Linked DNA regions of Arabidopsis thaliana. The protein of the gene in region 2 interacts with the protein of the main gene of each other region in a pairwise test. Each region holds a gene or a part of one and is shown on either strand. Other genes may lie near its edges.

Region 1 (8,049 bases), on a different chromosome or scaffold from region 2:
TAATTTGTGCACAAAAAAAAAAAAAAAAAAATCACATAATTTACAACATTTGAATTATATATCTTGTAGACACATAGAGTCATAGCGATCGTGGACAAAATAATATACCACAACTTTAATAAAGTTTAATTATAAAAAGAAGTAGCTTAAGTGCTTTCTTTTATTGATAGGCAATAGGTTGGTGAACCTTCAATATGACACCATTTTTGTGCTGAACATAAATTACGGACTATTATATATGTTTTTAATCGATCAGAGCTTGTAATTTTCGTGGTTATGTTTGATAGTTTCAATTTAAACCCAAAATACAATCAATGAATAATTAGTGCATATTATGTTACTATAATTCTCAGTTCTCACCTAGTGTTTGGTATGCGATTTTTAAAATGTTTTTGCTATAATAATGATTTTTCCGACCAATATAGAATCAAATTTCGTTATGAAACCACTCTACTTGATTTAACCTCTGAACCTCATATTTGTTTTTGTTTTGTCAAAGAACCTCATGTTCTAATATCAAATCAAGAAAACCTATTATACGCATCTAGGTTTTTTGACAAATGACTTAAGCAAATTCTATAGACTACAATATCCATTACACATTAGTACATGTAATGATCAATGATGTAAACAAATAATTTTGATAACATTCTAGTGTGTGTACGTGTGGGTCGGTGTTCAGTCACTCAGACATATTAAATTATAGTCACTGGATGTTTATGTTTTATTTATTGGAGACTTCATTGGACCGAAATAAATAGGATAGTTTGGAATAAATAAATAAGTATTAAGAAAACTTGAAATAGTTTTCAGACCACGGTTGCTAGAATAAATCGATATTCGTTTTCCGGCTACTAAAAGTATAATAATCACTAATATTTAAATTTCTAATGATACCTTTCCTTGTTGTCCTTAAACTAGTATTAAAACTTATAATTCGTTGACATAATGAAAGCTTTTTGTTCGTTTAATATAGTTTTCTCATAAAGTCATAATAACAAACTTTTTGTTCGTTTAATCCTGTCTAAGTAACTTATGAATCACAATAACAAAATACACTAAACAAAAAGTTAATTTAGTTTATAAACGAATGAAGTGATATAATATTAATATTTTTATCATTAAACGTAAATCATAGATTAAAAAAAAGATTTGGCCAAAAAAAAAAGATTAAAGAAAATATTAAAATTAAAAATAAATAATGATGATTCTACCATATTTGGTAGTAGTAATTTGTAAAAAACTTTCTTTTAATGTAATTGAGTTTTCAGAATTCTTATTTTTTACCAATCCACGTATCCAACTAATATTACATTAAATAAATAAATGTTCAAGAAACTAATTGGAAATCATAAAATAAATCTCCAATCTAAAGTAGAACCGCATTATAAATACAAACTCATCCCTTCTACTTCCCATCATCTTCATCACACACCCATACTCTTCCTCGAACTCTCTTCTTCTTTCTCTCTTACTTTGTGTTTGCTCTGTTTTGCTCTCTTAACACAACACAAAAAATGTCCATCGTTGTTGGCCAAGCTTACCAACATCTTCCCAAGCAAGTAAGCCAAAATCCTGACGTGGGTGGATGGAGTTTCTTGCAATATTTCTCTGAGCCAAAAGGCATTGTCCAGAACAGAGAAGACGACACAAAGAAAACAGCTTATGTCTACCCGATCGAGAAGCGTTCCGTAGCTAAACTGAGCCTTGAGATGTGCACAGAGAGCCTCGGGACCGAGAATGGGAGTGATAGTGGAGACGAGATGTCGTTACTTGCGCTTGAAGCAACCAATATTTCAAAGAGTCCTCGTCTTACTACGAAACCTCAAAAAGAAACTAGCTTCATGACCCGTGAGAACAGTTTTCCTCCGCCGCTAAACTCCGTCAACGGATTCAACAATAGCCGTATGGTGAAATCGTATAAAGAAGACGGTCGTCTTGTTGTTCAAGCAATTAGGGTTTGTTCTCCACCTCGTTGCTTTGTATCTGAACGTCGTGAAGGAAGGCTTCGTCTCTGTTTATCACAGAATTCATTGAATAGCCAAGACGCAGAAGAAGAGTTTGAAGAAGAAGATGAAGATGATCAATACGATGCAGAGGAAGAAGAAGAAGAAGAAGAAGAAGAAGAAGAAGAAGAAGAAGAAGAAGAAGAAGAAGAAGAAGAAGAAGAAGAAGAGGACGAGGAGGGCATTGTGGGGAATAATGAGAACTTTGAGGGTAAAAGTGGAAATAAAAAGGTTAGCAACAGGCCAAAAAGGAGATGCAATGAAAATGGATGTGAGCCTAAAACTATGCTTAATTGGAAGCAGCAGCAATTTTGGGTGACCACTTAATGGGAATTACTCAACTCAGCAAATAATTATTTTTTACGGCTTCTAATTCTACATATATAAATGCTAAAATGTGAGTTAATTGTTACTTAAACTGTTTAACAACATAGAGAACTAATCTTCATTATCTGCTTTTACTTTTTAGTATGTTATAGGTAACCTTTGATTATTAACGAGAGTTTTAGTTATGTTTTCATAGACTAACGAGAGTGAAACTATAGTTTTAAAAAGGGTAATAAAGTACCAGTAATAGTGAGACTGACGAAAACTATATGATATCTTTCAAAAAACTTCATTGAAATTTTGGTAACATCATCTACACTAGTTTGCAACACATCTTTGTGCTTCTAAGCGCAGTCAATGTCAATGTTATTGTCATCACTAGTCTTAGTAGCACCAAGGGATACCACACTTTTATCATCAACCATCAGTCCATCAAATGGTCATTAATTCATATTTAAGTCTTTTATAAGAACTAAAGGTTTCTACAATTTTCAACAAAATTAAGTAATGTAAATGTCGTTTATGAGTATGCGAATAACTTTAACATTATTATTGTAGACCAAACTCTTTGACTGTCACGTGTGCATATTTATAGACACTTGCTCGTACGGACGTAATTGAATAAGAACATATAATTTGTAGGTCCATTGTACACGATCTCTCTACTTTCTTGATATTCTTCCCTCTGTCTCGACCAAATTCGTACTATATAAATCTCGGAGTGATATCAAAATAGATTGCAAGTATATGATTGAGCCAATGAGAAATAGACAACATTACGATGTAATGTCCAATCTTACGTACAAATGTGAAGAGCAATCTTTGTTCTCTGCAAACGAATAAGAGAACATTACGATTCTTTATATATAACATGCCACTTGACTCCGCTTATAATTGACCGAAATCTAAAGCAAATCTCATCATGTACCCATCTTATTTGGTATATTGATGATTCGATTTTATTTTATTTTCAATATAGAAAATGTATTTTCCATATACTTAATGTTATAAAAAAAAAATCATGTTTATATTTTAATTCAAGTTGAATCACTTTTTGACGAGATTATGCGAAATCAAGTTTTGATGGAAAAAAATATGGAATTGTGTTTTTGACGGGAAACTACGGAATCACTTTTTGACGAGATTATGTGAAATCAAGTTTTGACTGGAAAATTTGGAATCACGTTTTTGGCGGGAAAATTATGGAATTACGTATTTAGCGAAAAATGTGAAATCACGTTTTGACGAGGAAAATTAGTTCTTATTTGTTGTGAACAGTGAACTAGTGAAGTTAACCAAAGTGTTGCAGTTTTGATAAGGCTAATGACTACTAATTTTAGAATGATTTTTATTGACTGAGAGAAAATTTTGAAAGTTCTTTTATGTACTGCTTTTATTTTGGTTTTAGATTGGGCCGAGACAAGGCCCAACAAAGAAATAGCTCAAACACACTCACTTAGCAAATTACTCAAACAGCAGAGAGAGAGAGAGAGCTCAGTAAACTAAACAAAAATGAATAAAAACATGTTGGTTCGCTCTGCCCGGCCAACCCTAGCCTCCATTCACCGCCTTTTCTCCGCCGCCGCCGCCGCGACTGTGGACACGGCGACGGCACCCGTGGTGAAGCCTCGCAGCGGAGGAGGAAAAGGAGGAGAATCGGCCAACAAAAAAGAAACGGTAGTTGGAGGAAGAGACACTCTAGGAGGGAGATTACTAAGCCTTGTGTATACGAAACGCAGCGCCGTTGTTACTATCCGTAAATGGAAAGAAGAAGGCCATTCCGTTCGCAAATACGAACTTAATCGTATCGTTAGAGAGCTTCGTAAGATCAAACGCTATAAACACGCTCTTGAGGTTCGTGAAATTTCTCTCAATTTTGAATTCGATTGTGAAAACTCTGCGAAGTGGTAAAATGTTTTTTTTTTTGTGTGTGTGTGTAGATATGTGAATGGATGGTTGTACAGGAAGATATAAAGCTACAAGCAGGTGATTATGCTGTACATTTGGATTTGATATCTAAAATCCGTGGTTTAAACAGTGCTGAGAAGTTTTTCGAAGATATGCCAGATCAAATGAGAGGTCATGCTGCGTGTACATCTCTTTTACATAGCTATGTGCAGAACAAGTTGTCTGATAAAGCTGAGGCATTGTTTGAGAAAATGGGTGAATGTGGTTTCTTGAAGTCTTGTTTGCCTTACAATCATATGTTATCGATGTATATATCGAGAGGACAGTTTGAGAAAGTCCCTGTGTTGATTAAGGAGTTGAAGATTAGAACATCTCCTGATATTGTTACTTATAATCTCTGGCTTACTGCGTTTGCTTCTGGAAATGATGTCGAGGGTGCGGAGAAAGTTTATCTTAAGGCGAAGGAAGAGAAGTTGAATCCGGATTGGGTGACTTATAGTGTGTTAACGAATTTGTATGCTAAGACTGATAATGTCGAAAAGGCGAGACTTGCTTTGAAGGAGATGGAGAAGTTGGTTTCTAAGAAGAACCGGGTTGCTTATGCTTCTCTTATTAGTCTGCATGCGAATTTGGGTGACAAAGATGGAGTGAACTTAACCTGGAAGAAGGTTAAGTCTTCTTTCAAGAAAATGAATGATGCGGAGTATCTCAGTATGATATCTGCGGTTGTGAAGCTTGGAGAGTTTGAACAAGCTAAAGGTTTGTATGACGAATGGGAATCTGTTTCGGGAACAGGAGATGCTAGAATCCCGAATCTAATCCTTGCTGAGTACATGAACAGAGATGAGGTTCTTCTAGGAGAAAAGTTTTACGAACGGATTGTGGAGAAAGGGATAAACCCGAGCTATTCTACATGGGAAATTCTCACATGGGCTTATTTGAAGCGTAAAGACATGGAGAAAGTATTAGATTGTTTTGGGAAAGCTATTGATTCTGTGAAGAAATGGACTGTGAATGTAAGATTGGTTAAAGGAGCGTGCAAGGAACTTGAGGAACAAGGGAATGTTAAAGGAGCAGAGAAGCTAATGACTCTGCTCCAAAAGGCTGGTTATGTGAACACTCAGCTCTACAATTCCTTGTTACGGACATACGCTAAAGCAGGGGAAATGGCACTCATAGTTGAAGAGCGAATGGCAAAGGATAATGTAGAGTTAGATGAAGAGACTAAGGAGCTTATAAGACTAACCAGTCAAATGCGTGTGACTGAAATCTCGTCCACCATTTCTTAGTATGAAAGCTACAGAGTTAGTTTCAGTCTGCAACTTCCACAAACCGAAGAATACAGAAACCGTTCTCTCAAGTCCGTACCAATCGAGATACTCGTCTTGAAGCAGTAACATTCCACTTACTCGGACATTTAGACCTTGAGGAGAGTGTTCAAAGCTGCTAAGGAATGAAGTTGCTACAAAGATATGATTTTTCCTGTTTTTTAATTTTCAGAATTTAATATGATTAAAATCTCGTTTTATATTTTTGGTTCTCTATAGTTCTTCTGATGATGTCAAATGATCTTTGAGAGGTTGACTAACTGAAAAACCTACTTCGACTCTTCTTGTTGGGTAGTTATGACTTGTGTAAGCTTATGTAAGCTTTCAAAGACTTGTGTCCAAAGTGGATTTGTTCACCTCCAAACACTTAGTCAACTATTTTAACCATAAACCCATATCCATAAAGCTTAATAATTTTTTCCTAAAACATGAACATTTTCATGGCTCTACTATTCACCAATTATTATAGCATTTTTAAAGCTGGTAGGTAAACTAGATTTGGGTATCCATAAAACCTTAGCATTGGATGTGTTTGAATCTTATTCCTCGGTTTATTTTAATTGAAGTAGATGGTTAATTGTAAAACTATAATTGGCAGGCTAGAGCTAGCCGCCCATACTAATTATTAATTACTAAATTTATCTCCTCGAGTAGTCATGTAGTCTCACGACTAATCTTGATATAGAGAGCCCACTTGAGGTAAAGATCATCAACTAATAAAATCATCTTAAAAGAAGTTCGACGAACTTGGGTTGGTTGGTGAAGGTTGTTAAGAAGAAGTGGCGTCGTTGGTCGTTTGATTTTCCTTATTTTTCAATAAAATTAAAAATATAGAGAGAGATATGGATTATGGGATAGTAGACGACTATAATTAATAAATGTTACTTTTTCTTCTGCCCATTTTTATATCATAGTTAGCTAGAGCTTTTAAAATACAAGTTTACACAAAATTAGACTCAATCCTCGAAAAGTTTTGGTTTCTCATTGAAGAAATACGAATTAAAGTGATTGGCTATATATAAAAGAAATACTAGGATGAGACAATCAATAACAAGTAATGCGAAACAAAATTCGCTTATAAATAACAACAAATTGATAAAATGTGGTTTGTTTTGATACTAGTTTTATGTGTTCTCGATAGAATTGATGTATAGCCAAAAAATCACAACAAAATGATAAAAATATTAGTTTGTAGTTTAGGTCAAAGTTATAGTTCTTTTAAGTTTAAGGAACAATTTAAATTAAAGCATTAAACATTTTAAAAAATGTCATTAAAAATATGAGAGAGGCGTTTACTTAATACAACTCAACCCACTCCCCGACATGACCTCCTTAATCTTTCTTAGAAACTCTATATAATATAACAAAACAATATAAAATACTTCTAGTTCTTCTGGAAGTAAATATCCATATATTACCATGGACTTTGATGCATGATTTTTCAGTTTAAAAATGAAAAAAATCAGTCAAATAATGTCAAATTAGCATGTGAATTTTACGTGGTTGTAGAAAATATGTGAGTCGTAGATAACAATAAAAACCTTTCCATAGTAAAAAAATGTATAGTCTAATAGTTTCTATTAATGTTGACGTTACCTCACGGTTACTACACGGTTTATATGAATAATTGCAACAAACAAAAGCTTCTAATAGTAAAACTTTATAGTCTAGTAGTTTTCATTAATATTGGCGTTACCTCACGGTTACCACGCGGTTTATGTGAATAATGGTAAAAAAAAAACACTTTCCAAAGTAGAAAATGATATGATTATTTTTGTTTTGTTTCGAAAATTTGAAATGAAAGGGTGTGTAACTCTCGTTTCATCCTCGTAGTAATGATGAAACCAAATTCAAATAATAAAATCATTGAAACTCTTCTTTGTTGTCAACATAATAATTAGTTTTCTATAAAACCAAATTTGTCGTCATCATCTCTCCTTCTACTTTCCAAACCCATTAATATTTATAGTTAAGATTCAGGTCAGAAGTTGGGGACAATCAAAACCTCTTCTCTTCTTTCTTTTGTCAACAAAGAAACATTTCCATTGAGTCTCTCTCAATGTTCTTCTTCTTCTTCTTCTAAGATTAATTCAAAGTGTTTAATACTTTTGAAATTTTAAGTTTCTTTTTGGTCAGTTTCAAATGGGTGACATCATCGGTCACAAGGATAGGCAAATATGGCCACCCTCTCATCATGTTCTTCAAGATCCATTGTTTGATCATTCCAACAAACATCAGGTTTATATTATCTTATATCTAAATTTTTTCTATTTGAATTTGTTATTTTTTTCTCCTATTCTATATCGAAGTCGTTGTTAATTAAATTCTCACATAGTTGCAGAAATATGTCAAGAACCACCATCACCACGGCAACGGTGAATTTCGTCGGCCCGGGGCACCTCCTCTTAGACAAACATTTCCTTTGGTATTTCTTTTCAATCTTTTTTTTGGTTACAATCTCTTAACGGTATTGGAGGAAA
Region 2 (8,054 bases):
CAAAATATTCAATCTTTGTGATGTATATCTACATTTTTAGATTATCAAACTCCATTAAAGAGAAAATCTTTGCTCGTTTCTCTTAAGGCCCATTGCTTTTTATCTGAAGATGATTTCAAGAGAGTGCCCTGTTTTTTTGTATAAATAAAATTTTGATCTTTTGCTCGCTTTATACACATGTGGGAACGGTTTTGTCGGTGGAGACATTTATGGATTCGTGAACTGCTGCAAAAATTATGCGTTTCTTGGACGTTTCTGTAACTTTCTCTTTATTAGATTTTGTATCTTGTGTCTCTGTGTCCACCATTGCGTTGTGTGTATTCAATTGATTTCCCCAGGTGTTGAAGATTGTTATTTATATATTTAACTTATTTTATGCACAGAGATCTTTAGTATAATTCATGAAAATATGGTTTTATCTTCCATGATCTAGGGGAACTAAAACATTTGTAAAGTTTGAGCCCATATTTTGTGTTTGTTGCTTTTCAGAGATGCATATATTATGGTTGTTGTTCTGTTTATGAATTGTTATGTGCATTGTTTTGCAGCAATGGCGCCACCGATTGAGGTTTCTACCAAAAGCTACGTTGAGAAACATGTTTCACTTCCTACTCTTAATGAGAGGATACTTTCGTCCATGAGTCACAGATCAGTAGCTGCACACCCATGGCATGATCTCGAGATAGGTAAGCTATACGTAAAGGTTTCTTTTTCTTTTTTTTGGCTCTAAGATCATTTCATTGTTTTTTAGTAATAACTCTTATACCTTTTTTGCTTCGCATTCCTTTGTTTACAGGACCTGAAGCCCCAATTATCTTCAATTGTGTAAGTGTTTTGCTAAAGCTCTAAGGATTGAAAATATTTAATTATATTGTCACAAAACTGCCATTATGCGTATTCGGAGATGCTGCAGTTGTTTACTATTTCTACAGAATTTACATATTTGTAGCATTCACTCAAAGAAAATTAAAACATTCATTGGCTATATATCTTGAAACCTGAATTGAGTCTGCTGTAGCATATGAAATGATGTTCATCGCCTGATTAGGAAACCATTTTATGGGTTTAATCTTTGAGATATTGTTGTGGGAATCATTAACCAAGCATACGGAGGCATTATTACAGGTGGTTGAGATAGGAAAAGGGAGCAAGGTGAAATATGAACTCGACAAAACTACGGGTCTCATTAAGGTATAAATTTGATTGCATTAACTTTCTTCGCTGTCCCTTTCATTATTAGAGGTACGATTGTCTAAACTTTACACATATTCTCAGGTCGACCGTATTCTTTACTCATCTGTCGTATACCCACACAACTATGGGTTCATTCCGCGTACCCTTTGTGAGGACAGTGACCCTATTGATGTTCTTGTCATTATGCAGGTAACATATTTTTTCATACAATTTTGAGAACCTGCATAATTCATTACATAATGTTTCTTGTTCTATTTTGATTTGTGCATCTGATAAGCTTTGAAGAAGTTCAAGCGCTCAACTCTTAGCTATAGACTCTACTTTATAACTGTGTAGCTTAGGAATGAATGTAGCAGATGAGAAATGTTGCCAGTCAGTTATCGAGCAGTTAGTGGCTGCTAGGCTTATAAAGGTGTCTCAGCATATTGTTTAGAGTGTGGATTTTCTAGTGTTTACTCTGGAATTTAAAACCTCTTATTAATCAATCAAGTCTATAAGCATCATCAGCATCTCAGTCTGTCTTATTTGACTGGTAGAAAACACATCTCATGTGAATCTTGTTGAATATTTTCTACAGGAACCGGTGATCCCAGGATGCTTTCTTCGGGCCAAAGCTATTGGTCTGATGCCAATGATTGATCAGGTTAGATATTCAACGTACTTGTCATATTAGTACTTATAAAAGTAACAGAGATTGAAACTAGAAGCTCTTTCTGCTTGAATAGGGTGAGAAAGACGACAAGATCATTGCTGTCTGCGCTGACGATCCAGAGTATCGCCATTACAACGACATCAGTGAGCTTCCGCCTCATCGTATGGCTGAGATCCGCCGTTTCTTTGAAGACTGTGAGTGTTCTTTTCTTACAAACTTTTGGTTGGTTAAGGATGATATGAGGCTCATACTCTTGTAATCTTGTTGCAGATAAGAAAAACGAGAACAAGGAAGTAGCCGTTAACGACTTCCTTCCGGCAACTGCAGCCTACGACGCAGTTCAGCATTCCATGTAAGTAGCCTTCATGAAACTTACTGTTATTTACTTCATATATTATGACCTTGTAAATAGCCGCAATTTGTTTATATCAAAGAATAACTAACTAATCAAATTGGGACAACTCTTTTGTGTCATGTAGGGATCTCTATGCAGACTACGTCGTGGAGAACCTAAGACGTTGAATCACCACCTCAAGCAATGGAATGAAAGCTCACAACTGCATTATTCACAAATATAAATATACATATAAATGTCAGGCTTCTCAAAGGATATATTTGTTGTGTATGTCCTCTGATGAATCCGGTAGATGATGCCGATAATTCTTTTTTTTTTTTGTCGTATGAAACCGATAATCAAAGACTAAAACAGGGATTTTTCTCATTTGTGGTCATCACTTTTTAAATTTTGGTGTCATTTCTCATCTTAATCAATTTGTTTTTGAGTTTTATTCTTCTATTAGATCTTTTATACATCAAAGAATAGATGAAGATTCCTCCCTAAAACCTTATAGTATGTCATTTATTCACAATATGTTATACGTGTTAATTTTCTCTCTTTTAGTATACTCTTTTTTTTTCTTTCAGATTCCATCCCAAGTTGCTTAAATTTTGTTAAAACCAACTAAATTCCATAGTTCAATTTACAAATCTGTGATCAGATGCTATCTAAATGAATATTACCATTTTAGCCCTTACCTTTTCTGAAATTTACCACGTTTACCTCAATGAACCGTCATCGCAAAACCAAAAACCCTTTCCTATCCCTAAAACCCGAGAGAGCATCTTCTTCTCCTCTTAGGGTAGAAGAAGGACGAAAATCGGAGGAGGAAGAAGAAGATCGATTCGATTTGTGATCAACGATGAGCTCCTTCAATGGAAACAGCAACATCGACAACCTCCTAATCCAAACCCTACTTGGACGTCTCCAAATTCGTCCCCCTAACTCTCATTTCCTCTCTCAATCCCTAGACGACCTCCTCTTCAAATCCGACGACAGCGACGGCGATGATGACGGAGAAGGTCAGACCAGTCTCGACAGAGAAGAAGCTAGGCTTGAGAAAGAGCTAATCCGAGTCATCGTCTCTGGTCGAAGCGATTCTCTCAAGCCGAATTCAGGTCAAGCCGTGACAGTCAACGAACACCACATCTGCGTTGGGTTTCATGAGGATGAGGAATCGGATTATCGTGTTTGGGAGTGGCATGGTCATATCATGTTGTTTGATGAAGAGAATGGGTACACGCCTGAGTATATCTACGGGAATTACTTCGAGAGGTTGCCTGTGAAGCTTCCTAATAACCGCCGTGTGGAGAAGGAGAAGAAGAAGGAGATGAAAGAAGAGGAGGTGGAGAATTTGGGGCTTAGAGAGTTGATCGATGGTGGTGACGCTGCTCCTGGTAGGATTCTTCATAGGAACAACATCAACATCGGTTCCTCAAGGTTTGTTTCTTACAACTCCTTTTAAACTTTCTATCATTCTGTGTTGCTTTCGGGATGATTTAGTTGTTCATTGATCTAGGGTTGGCTAATCAAAGTTTTAGGTCATGTATTAGAGTATGTATTCAGTGAGAAATATAACAATGGCTCATATGTTTTGGATGATTTTTGCTGTTAGCGAATTCTGTTTTGAAATTTGATTCGCTCATGGTGAAGCCTTTAGTTTGCTTTTACAGTTTCTTTTTCGTTGCAAGACAATAAGTTGATGAAAAGAGTTTGGAAAATGATAGTTTTTGATCATTGCCAGTAGTGAATTCAGCACTTGCTGTTTCCTGAATGAAGTTACAGGTTAGGCCAATGTGTGGTTGTGGATTGTGGTCATTGCATTTCTGTCTCGAAATAACACATGGTCGTTAAATACGATCGATTAATTCTCCTCAATTCATATTAGATAGTTGTTTCCCATATATGTATGATAAAACTGCATGTTCTTACAATGCTTTTTGTTAACTTTTTTACCTTGCTCTAGGCCTTCAATGCTGTTTTGGACACTCGATTTAGTTCACAATGTGACTAGTGAGACTTCGTCGATCTCCAAATCAATTGCTTTCATATACAGTTCACTATATTAGTCAGGGATTTTCATGCCAAGAATATTCATTTTTACGGTGTCCACAAATATTGATATAGAATGTTGTTTAAATGTTCATATGATGACCACATCTAGATCTTCCGATATCCATTTACATTACTTAATGAGAGTTCTAAGACGATGAATTTTAAGCTTGTGGTGTGATAATCTACTCAATAGTATTAGTAATGCTTGATCTTACTCTTGCCTTTTCATATTCTGTTCGGATATCCATCCTCTTCCAAGTATCTATTAGATTATTCTCTTGTTTCACTTTAGATTCCAACTTTAACTTGATTATCTTGCGGTTACATACTCAAAATGTTTAGAATCGATCACTGAACTTACGTGGTTCATCGTGAACTGGCAGGGTCTAAGTTCCTAAGAGCGTCTTGGTAGGGAGAGGTCACATTGTTCGGGAAGATTTCAGATGTGTGAACAACTCGCGACAACAAAACATAAGGTGCTGGTGGGTCTACGGGTTCTATTCCGTTTTATTTAAACCGGGAAATCCATGGGTGAATCTGTTTTCTTTAAGAAATTCATCTGAAGTTGTTTCTGAACCAAATTTACAATACATGTTAATGAAGAGAGAAAAGATTACAATGCATGGTCATCGAACTCGGAAGCTTTCAAGTTTCCCCATGTTTGTTTATTTTGTGTTCTTAAATCAGAATCATATGTTTTGCTCATTTTACAATTCTGCTTTCGATAACGAAATTTAATTGAATCGTTTTCAAATCTCGAGTACTTCCAATGAAGATTTCACCTTTTTTTTTTATTGGTGAATAGTATGTATTATATCGGATTTAAAATCACGTTGTGTAATATAATGAGGAAAGTCGTACAAACTACCAAACTAAATGTACGGTAAGAACTGGGAAGCACATGTGTTGCACACGTACCCAATACCCATGGTAGAATGTTGTTATTCATTATTGTTTTAAAATAATATTTAAGATAATAATTTTTTGGAATTTTTAGTTATATTAAGACTTTGTAAAAATTAAATCTTTAATTATTACAAATAAATTGATTTGATATTTGTAACGTAGATATTATTAATCTTATTAAGTTTGATTTTACATATTTAAACGTAAAAATGAAGAAAAAGGTATTTTTCCAAATTTACTCTATTTATAATCTATGTATTAAATTTATATGCTTAATTATAACTTTTTAATAATATAATGCTTAATGTTATAAATATATGTGTGTGAACACTTCTAATACGTACCACTTTCTAAAATTCTTTAAAAATCGTTTTGATATGCAAAAGTTCTACAAAAATTCGCTTAAATAACAATTTCCTCTTCTTTAACTCTTACTCTTCATTTGTTGCCGTGAGTTTTCACCATTCAGAATCATAGTCATTCACGAAATATTCTCATATATATTTTTTTTTGTTAAAAAGAAATGTCAAGTGTAGAAATAAAATGAAAAAAGAAATAAGATATTAGAGAAATACAAAGATTGAAAAGCGATGTCTTCAGAAAATAGATGTTGAAAGCAAAACAATGTTTGCAGACATAAAGTATATTCGGTTGTGCAATGAAACAATGATGTAGACAAAAAAAAACAGTCCTATCAAGCATTGATTTTCTTAACCACTAAATTCAAAAAAGTATGCAATTTTGATCCACACACCCTTAGCTTAAATTAAATCGTCACATTTTTTTTCAACTGTCGAAACTGAATCATGATTCTAAGAACAACATCGTCATTATAACACTCTTTAGAATCTTAATCAAAAAATTAATTGTGTAATATATAGAATGTACATGTATCCAAGCAAGGGCAACAACATTATGAGGTTCACTTGCCCGTGATGAATGGGTGAGCTAATGCCTGTGACACTGTAAGTCTCTTTTGAGGATCAAGTGTGAAAATTTTGTCCAAAAGATTCCTGAAATGAACCAACACCTTGGGATCTTCATCCTCATAACGTCGTCTAATTACTGAACCTAAATCTTTTGGCTTTACGTTGACCATTATTCTCCTTATTGTCTTTCCAGTAACACTATCCTCCTCTGTAGCATAGAAGCATAAGTCCTTATCAAAGTGTTGATCGATAAATGCTCCTTTGCGAAGCATCTTTTTAGGGAAGGGACCTTTCAGTTCCATATGCAGGCGTAACATATCATTGTTTGTGGAGCCAGGGAACATAATTTTCCCGCTATAAAGCTCATACAGACAACAACCAACTGACCAAATATCTAACGGATGGTCGTAGGGTAGTCCAAGAATGATTTCTGGAGCTCTGTAGAAACGACTAACAAGATATGGTGTAACTTGGTTTTCACCAGCAAACATTGCACTACCAAAATCACAAAGCTTTAACATGTTTCTTCCCTCATTCATTAGTATGTTATCAGGCTTTATATCGCAGTGAAGAACCCCACAGTTCTTGAGATGTTTAAGGGATATGAATAACTGCTCAGCATACACTCTAACATCATATAGTTTTAGACCAATGTTGACACCAATCTTCTTCACAACTTCACGGAGATTCAGATGAAGAGACTCAAACACCAAGCAAAGGTGGTTCCTATATTCAAAAGTTGAAAGAAGACGGACGCAGTGGTGCTTATTCTCTGGGTCAGAGCAAACTAGCTTCTTCAATATCCGAATCTCAGCCTGGCCAGCCTTATGCATTGTCTCATTTTTCCGAATAATTTTTATAGCCACTTCCTCAGGTTCACCTAGCTCAGGTTTTGTGTCTTTTGCACGCACCACGGTAGAGAATACACCTTTCCCATGAGTAGCCATGATTTCATATCTATCATCAAGTAGTTCACCAAGCTGATAACTGTAATAACCTTCTGCATCATCCCAATTATCATTGAGTCCACTCCTTACAAAAGGAACAAGTGCATTCCCTTTCCGAGTACCATCAGCTAGAGGAGACTCCCCAAAGATATCATCACTGAACATGTCACTCTTTGGGCTGCCTGCGGAAGCTAGTGTCATATCTGAGTCTGATATCACAAGCCGTGCAGGTGTTTCCCCAACTGCTGAAGATAGCTTGGCGACTTCACCATCTACGGCCTCAGTATCCAACCCAGCTTTAGCTTGAACATCTGCCACAGTAGAGGACTGCTCCAACTTTTTCTTATATTTCTCCAATATGGCTTGCGTAATCCTCTTGCTTTCCTCGATTCTTTTCATCTCTGCAGCTTCTTGTTCTTCAACTCCCCAAACAACATCTTCACCGTCATCATCATTATCAACTTCAGACCTTTCAACGTTGCCCTGAGTTTCACCGTTAGGTTTATGGCTTTTTAAAGAATCTAAGTCATCTTCTGCATCATGCCTAACTTCCCCATATCCATCACCACCACTTTTATAGATCTCCTGATCACTCTGGTCTTCTCTTCTTCCTCTATCCCTATCTTGATCCTTACGTCTCTCTCTTTCATTCTCCCTCCCAGTCTCTCTACTACTAGACCTAGCTTTATCTCTACTACTCCTACCTCTGTAGTTGTCTCTATTGCTTTCTCTATCAATGCTTCCCTTCTTCTTCAAATTCTCCCCTTCCTCCAAATCAAGTTCACCATCGTTACCAGGATTCCCCAAAAATGGATAAACATTCTTTTCATTGCCGTCCTCATCAAGATGATGACTGTGTCGATGCTTGTGATGATGGTGCTTGTGCCGCTTGGAAGATTTAACGACTTCGTCGGAAGGAGAATACGACCTACGGTGTTTGCGGTGGCTTGATTCTACTATCTTATCGCTCACCATCAGATCGTCGGAAAAGATAGACAATCGCAAAATTAGGGTTAGGGTTCGATTTTCTCCCG
Region 3 (7,776 bases), on a different chromosome or scaffold from region 2:
TGTTTTTTAATCAAAGAGGGATCGAATAATATTTTTTATAAGATTACTATAGTTCTTAATCGTATACCTCGAGAGGGGGAATATGAATATTGTACAAGGAAGATAGATCCACCATAAATTATGCCAACTTGTCTTATGTTTATAGCATATTTCTCTATAGTATTTATATTAATGTCTCTTGTGACTTGTCGCGTACTAAAACTCCTATATGAAATTGCAAGCATTCAATTTAAAAGTATATATATATCCGTTAAATTGAATTTGAAACTTGTAATGTTTTCCATTCAGTAAATCACACACCGTTCGTTAATCACGAGGCAGCACGACTGTCATTATCTGATGAGTTCCCACAACAGAGAATCATCAAACTCGTCTTGATAAACTTCAACAGATACAATAAAGTTTCAATTTTTTTTGAGAAGTCGAACAACAGCCAAATCAAAGTGTTAACCATGAGATTCTTGTTAACCAAAAGAGCATTCAGAATCTTCAACCCACGTTTCCAGAGACTGTGGTTAACTTCTTCTCCCTTCTCCTCAACCTCAAATTCCGGCGGATTTCCCGACGATTCCGAGCCGGAATCATGGAGAACTATAGAGGGTCTTCTCCGTTCCCCTGCAAATTTCTCTCCTTTATCTCCAATCACGTTCTTGGAGCGATCCGCTAAGGTTTACAGAGACAGAACCTCTCTTGTGTTTGGTTCCGTTAAACACACTTGGTTCCAAACTTATCAACGTTGTCTCCGTCTTGCCTCTGCTCTTACCAATCTCGGAATCTCTCGTGGCGATGTGGTTAGTCTCTTTAAATTGTTCAATTTTCTGCTCTGATTAGGGTTCTCGATTTAGGTTTAGTGATAAAAGAGGAAACTTTTATAGGTTGCAGCTTTAGCTCCGAATGTTCCAGCTATGCATGAGCTTCATTTCGCTGTTCCTATGGCTGGTTTGATTCTTTGTCCGCTTAATACTCGACTTGATCCTTCCACATTGTCGGTTTTGTTAGCACACTCCGAGGCCAAAATCCTCTTTGTTGATCATCAGTTACTTGAGATTGCTCATGGAGCTCTTGATCTTCTTGCTAAATCAGATAAAACTAGAAAAAGTCTGAAGCTTGTGTTGATCTCTCAGTCTAATGATGATGATGATAGTGATGAAGATAGCTCATCTACCTTTGCTTCAAAGTACTCTTTTGATTACGAATATGAAACTCTGCTTAAATCCGGAGATAGCGAGTTTGAGATAATCAAACCGAGATGCGAATGGGATCCTATTAGTATAAACTACACTTCAGGGACGACTTCGAGACCTAAGGGTGTAGTGTATAGCCATAGAGGAGCTTATCTCAATTCTCTTGCTACAGTCTTTCTTCACCAGATGTCTGTTTATCCGGTGTATTTATGGACAGTGCCGATGTTTCACTGTAACGGATGGTGTCTTGTTTGGGGAGTAGCAGCTCAAGGTGGTACTAATATCTGTCTCAGGAAAGTCTCTCCTAAGATGATCTTTAAGAACATTGCTATGCATAAAGTGACTCACATGGGAGGAGCCCCAACTGTGTTGAATATGATTGTGAACTATACTGTGACTGAACATAAACCGCTTCCTCACAGGGTTGAGATCATGACAGGTGGGTCACCGCCTCTACCGCAGATCCTGGCTAAGATGGAAGAATTAGGTTTCAATGTGTCTCATCTTTATGGTTTGACAGAGACATACGGTCCAGGGACACATTGCGTGTGGAAACCTGAATGGGATTCACTTTCGTTGGAGGAGAGAACTAAGTTGAAGGCTAGACAAGGAGTGCAGCATTTGGGTCTAGAAGGGCTCGATGTGAAAGATCCGCTGACAATGGAGACTGTCCCTGATGATGGTTTAACCATGGGTGAGGTTATGTTCAGAGGAAACACTGTGATGAGTGGATATTTCAAGGACATAGAGGCAACACGAAAAGCTTTCGAGGGAGATTGGTTCCACAGTGGTGATCTCGCTGTTAAGTATCCAGACGGGTACATAGAGATAAAAGACCGGTTAAAAGATGTGATCATCTCAGGAGGAGAAAACATAAGCTCAGTGGAGGTTGAGAGAGTTTTGTGCAGCCATCAAGCGGTTCTTGAAGCTGCTGTTGTAGCACGTCCAGATCATCACTGGGGACAGACTCCTTGCGGTTTTGTAAAGCTGAAAGAAGGATTTGATACCATCAAACCCGAGGAGATTATCGGGTTCTGTCGAGATCATTTGCCGCATTACATGGCTCCAAAGACTATAGTTTTCGGGGACATACCTAAAACCTCGACGGGGAAAGTACAAAAGTATCTTCTGAGGAAGAAAGCTGATGAAATGGGTAGCTTGTAATCGCCATGTAAGAAACAAAAAAGCTTAGTCTCTGGTTCATGTGTGTATGTAAGGAAACAAAGATCAGAGAATCATAAAACCACCGCGTGAAAATGAAGAAACAGATCAGCCATGGATATGATTTGGCTATAATTAGATTTGTTACGCGGAAGGCCAACGATTTTGTTATTTTTGTGCCTCAGAAAGATTTTAAGACATTAAAAAAAGAAAGAAGTAGCCAAAAGAATATTCCGCCGTGTCTGAAACGAGTCCATTTCGTAGGAAGATTTCAAAGCACAATCTTACTTATCTGTTTTCTCTCTTCTCTCCATTATAAATAAATCTGCATCCTGTGTTAGAATCTTTAAACAAAACCATCTGACTTATCAACAACAACAAGAGGACGAAGAAGAAGAAGAAGATTGTTACTTTCTTGATCGATAATGGCGTCGAATGAAGCTGGAAGGGCATTGCCGAAATTCGGGGAATGGGATGTGAATGATCCAGCGACGGCGGATGGATTCACGGTGATATTCAGCAAAGCCGGTGAAGATAAAAAGACGGGACGGAGTTCGACGAAGACGAATTCACAGAGGAAACAAGATGGTGATAAACCAGCGGTCAAGAAATGGCTCTGTTTCACTTTTGCTTAATCTTTTTTTTTTGTTTGTTGAGTAAGTTTTAATCCTAAGAGAATGTAGCTTTGAGCCTTATGAGCCCTTTGACAACTTTTGTGTTAGAACATTTCATTTCGTTTTTAGTTATCTAATAAAACAAATTCTGAGGTTTTGTTTCTTAATGATAAATCTCTGCATTTGGTCATTTGGAAATCAACAAAATTGTAGTTGTTGATTAAAGAATTGCAAAAGTCATACAAAAAAGGTCTCTTAGATATTGAGGTGAACACAAACTCTTGAACATGTTCAAAATTCATACAAAATGTGTTCTTCCTTACAAAACCTTTCTTTAATCTCTATTGATTTGGTCTGTAGAACAATGTTCTTGTATGGGGTTTATTGAGAAAACACAGAAGATCTTTCGGTTCTTTAGAGAACATTTTGCGGAAAGATTGTTGTTTTTAGGGCTTTGCCCACAAACTTGTACAGAAAGCAAAGAAAATACTGTGTTGAGGCCTTGAGGGAGAGAGGCTATCGCACAAACTGACTTTGGGCTACCATTCAAAAGCCCAATAGGCCCAATGTATTTCTACGGTTTTTCCTATTCGCTAACGTAAGCAACAGACTACCATGCGCCGTCCTCTGTCCATTTTCAACACAACAGACAAAATGCATCTTCACCCACACTTTGGGCCGATATTAACAAGCCCAATAGGCCCAATGTCTTGCCACGGTTTCTCTCATTTGCTAACGTAAGCAACTAGAGTACACGAGTGTAACTACTATACGCCGTCCTCTGTCCATTTTCAACACAACAGAGTCACAAAAACCTCTGCAAGAACCCTAAAGCTAAAACCTTTTTGCGATCAATCGAAAGAAAACAAAAAATGGGGAAAGTTCCGTCGTCGTTTCGTAGTATGCCGGCGAACTTATTGGTCAGAAAAACAACACCATCTCCTCCAGCGCCGCCGCGAGATTTTCGCAACAGAACCGCCGTGGGAGGAGATTCAGCCAAACTTCCCCAGAATACTCAAGCCCCTCGCGAGCCCTCCTTGAGGAATCCATTCAAGTCACCAAATCTCTCAGACGCTAAAAGCCTCTTCAATTCAATCGCCGCCACTTCACGAATCCCACTCGATCTCAAGTTCCACAACTCTGTTCTTCAATCATACGGTTCAATCGCCGTCGTCAACGATACGGTGAAACTCTTTCAGCATATTTTGAAATCGCAGCCTAATTTCAGGCCGGGACGTTCAACGTTCCTTATCTTGCTTTCACATGCTTGTAGAGCTCCTGATTCGTCGATTTCGAATGTTCATAGAGTTCTTAATCTCATGGTTAATAATGGTTTAGAGCCTGATCAAGTAACTACCGATATCGCGGTGAGGTCTCTTTGCGAAACGGGTCGGGTTGATGAAGCTAAGGATTTGATGAAGGAGCTCACTGAGAAACACTCTCCTCCGGATACATATACTTATAACTTTCTACTGAAGCATTTGTGCAAATGCAAAGATCTTCATGTTGTTTATGAGTTTGTTGATGAGATGAGAGATGATTTCGATGTTAAGCCGGATCTTGTTAGCTTCACTATCTTGATTGATAATGTTTGTAACTCTAAGAACTTGAGGGAGGCAATGTATCTAGTTAGTAAGTTAGGTAATGCTGGGTTTAAGCCGGATTGTTTCCTCTATAACACGATTATGAAAGGTTTTTGCACACTGAGTAAAGGGAGTGAGGCGGTTGGTGTGTATAAGAAAATGAAGGAAGAAGGTGTTGAGCCAGATCAGATTACCTACAATACTTTGATATTTGGACTGTCGAAAGCTGGTAGAGTTGAGGAAGCTAGGATGTATTTGAAAACTATGGTTGATGCGGGGTATGAGCCGGATACTGCTACTTACACATCACTGATGAATGGAATGTGTAGAAAAGGTGAGTCTTTAGGTGCGTTGAGTTTGTTAGAAGAAATGGAAGCAAGAGGGTGTGCTCCAAATGATTGTACTTATAATACTTTGCTTCATGGATTGTGTAAAGCAAGGTTGATGGATAAAGGGATGGAGTTATATGAAATGATGAAATCAAGTGGTGTAAAGCTTGAGAGTAATGGTTATGCTACACTTGTGAGGTCTCTGGTTAAAAGTGGCAAGGTCGCAGAGGCTTATGAAGTGTTTGATTATGCAGTTGATAGCAAGAGTTTGTCAGATGCTTCTGCGTACTCTACACTTGAAACTACCTTGAAATGGTTGAAAAAAGCTAAAGAACAAGGCTTGGTTCCATAAATGGTATCCTCTAGCTGAGCTTTACCGACTTTCTTCTTTATGCAAGTCCATATTTCATTTTTGAAGTAGTGTTACTCCAAAAGCAATGAATTTGTTTCGAAATATGCTGTTCGATTCTTAAGGGACCAGCAGTGATTTATAATAGTAACTTTGTTGGTAATATTATTGTCACTTGAGATTTCTAAAGGTTTCCTTAACACTCGAGTTATTGATTGGGTGAAAGTTGTTGCTGTGTTTCTATATGAACAGTCATATTCTATTATTCTGTTTGTATCAGCTTCTTGCCTTCAGTGTCATGTACTCTGTTCTTATGAGCTATTGTGAATACCATAATTGGTTATTGATCTTGCCTTGGGTTGTTGCTTGAGAGATCAAGCAAATAATATTTGCTTTGACAATTGCAATATCTGTTTGGGGTAAATGAGGCAGAGTATCTGAGTAAAGATTGTTTCTTGTGAACAATTTTGGTTATTGATCTTGCCTGGGATTGTTGCTTGAGAGATCAAGCAAATCATATTTGCTTTGACAATTACGCTATATGTTTGGGGTATTAAATCAGGCAGAGTATCTGAATAAAGAGATCGTTTCTCTTGTTTGGCTGCAAGAAGAGACTATTATCTTCTTGAACAATCTTTTCTTATATGCTCTGTTTTAACACTAAGCAGCCCAAGTGCAGAGTATTTGTGAATTATCAGTTGAATTACAAAGTACAAACCAAATCATTGAGGGGGACAAGAAAACAGAGGACAACGTTAATGGAATCATGAAGAAGATTTATAAGTGGTCAACATTCTGGTATTAGTCTATTTCATTGTTTATGACCAAATTCTAATCATTTGGTGAATAAACTCTTTTGTTTATTTTGATTTCTCTTCTGTCATGTTTCATTATCTAGTGTATTTTGCTGCAACATCTGTTTCTTTGTCTCCCCCATTAAACAATAGAACGCTACGGAAATAGATACATATTAGGAAGAAATGTACGTACCGCGAGGTCCACGAATACATGATTCGCCTACCATCATTGTGTAATCTATCGATTATCATAGCCTCCAGCTTTTTCTTTTAGTATAAGTTACTCCTAGCTGTCATGTTCTTATATATATCTTGCATATCTATGACTATGTACTCTAGAGAATATGAAGGAAGCAATAATAGACAATTATGGAGACAAGATGATAAGAATAATCTGAGAGCTTGCCGTGTTCGTGGTCACAGAGAGATAATTAAACAATGACAATGGTGCAAAGATCCTCATTTTTTTAAGACTTTTAATATTTAAGACAGACACAATTGCTCAAGAGCTTAATATAACTCTTGGAGTTTCCATTATGAGCTAGGTTGCTTATGAAGAAGACTAGTCATTCAACGTAGAGACTCTGTTGAGCAGTATAATTCCGTGAGTGCTAAAAAAGATGTAGCTTTTGTAAAGAAGACATGATTTTATAGTTTCAATCCAATCATATATCTTCTAATATCGATTTATAATTTTATAAATGTAGCGTATAATTAATATTTATAACTAAAGAAGTAAAGAGCATAGCCAAGAAAATACTAAACTCAAACTATATATCACGCCACAATTATAAATCACTTTTGTTTTTTTGCTAATCCCCTATGTGCAAATTAAGTGATGTATAAGGTTATTATACACACATCTTAAATAACTACGTGAATTAAATATTTATCCTGTTTGTGTTATAAATTATAAATTATTGTTTAAGAAAGTATTTGATCAATAACAAAAAATATATGATTTATAACACAAACAAGATAAATATTTAAAAATATATTTCTTAGATAAAAAGAATGAGAACATCACTTAAACAAGATAAATATTTAAAAATATATTTCTTAGATTAAAATAATTTATAGTCATCAAATAAATTACGTAATAACTAAAAATTGTTTTCTTTCTTTCTTTTTTTTGGCTCGACAAACAAATAATATCCGCTAAACTATCATATGTAAACCAAATTTTGGGTAATATCAGAATTTTATCGAAAGAGGATTATGTACAGGATATGAAATCATATATGTTATCAAAATTAAACTAAAAAAAGTTTTAAACTTTAAATGTTCCGTTGTGGTCTAGGCTACTACCTAGTTTTTTTTTTTTTTTTACAGGCTACTGTCTAGTTCATATCTTAGAAACTCGCGTGTCATTAATATCTTAGGAGCATCTCTATTACAAAAGATACCACGTAAAAGCTTTTATGTTGAACATTGAAATTGTAACCAAAGATAGAGGATCAATGCAAATCATCATGAACTTAAGGATATACTCTGGATCGGATGCCAACCTACACCAAAAAATTATTATTATTTTCTTTTGTCAAATATTTAACGTACAAAATAAATTTGTCACAACAAGAGTCGCAGATTTAACATAGTCGAGCAAAAAGACGGAGTGACAATATTATAAATAAATAAAAATCGTAAATAAATTGATTTTTTAGCTATATTGGAATTAAACAATAATGCATTTCTATAATATTATTTTTCTTTACAAAACAATAAAAACATTTTACAGCAAAATATTACTCATATAATT

Evidence for each region. The genes of interacting proteins can lie anywhere in the genome.
Region 1: the proteins of AT3G53630 (region 2) and AT4G02820 interact in a two-hybrid assay, tested with the Arabidopsis thaliana proteins (one large-scale study listed by BioGRID).
Region 3: the proteins of AT3G53630 (region 2) and AT2G17670 interact in a two-hybrid assay, tested with the Arabidopsis thaliana proteins (one large-scale study listed by BioGRID).

Annotation. Positions count from the first base shown.
Region 1 is NC_003075.7:1,254,736-1,262,784, forward strand, and holds AT4G02820 (Pentatricopeptide repeat (PPR) superfamily protein), read left to right. Parts: upstream 1-3,796; 5' UTR 3,797-3,845; coding exon 3,846-4,187; intron 4,188-4,273; coding exon 4,274-5,530; 3' UTR 5,531-5,961; downstream 5,962-8,049. Other genes in the region: FAF1 (FANTASTIC four-like protein (DUF3049)), read left to right, coding at 1,518-2,333; AT4G02830 (uncharacterized protein), read left to right, coding at 7,712-7,807, 7,905-7,994.
Region 2 is NC_003074.8:19,880,941-19,888,994, forward strand, and holds AT3G53630 (uncharacterized protein), read left to right. Parts: upstream 1-2,920; 5' UTR 2,921-3,045; coding exon 3,046-3,623; intron 3,624-4,149; coding exon 4,150-4,252; 3' UTR 4,253-4,621; coding exon of another isoform or gene 4,622-4,628; 3' UTR 4,629-4,998; downstream 4,999-8,054. Other genes in the region: PPa4 (pyrophosphorylase 4), read left to right, coding at 551-686, 797-825, 1,126-1,191, 1,276-1,383, 1,772-1,837, 1,920-2,040, 2,117-2,198, 2,326-2,368; AT3G53640 (Protein kinase superfamily protein), read right to left, coding at 6,067-7,995.
Region 3 is NC_003071.7:7,670,589-7,678,364, forward strand, and holds AT2G17670 (Tetratricopeptide repeat (TPR)-like superfamily protein), read left to right. Parts: upstream 1-3,730; 5' UTR 3,731-3,831; coding exon 3,832-5,223; 3' UTR 5,224-5,688; downstream 5,689-7,776. Other genes in the region: AT2G17650 (AMP-dependent synthetase and ligase family protein), read left to right, coding at 453-791, 876-2,348; AT2G17660 (RPM1-interacting protein 4 (RIN4) family protein), read left to right, coding at 2,771-2,980.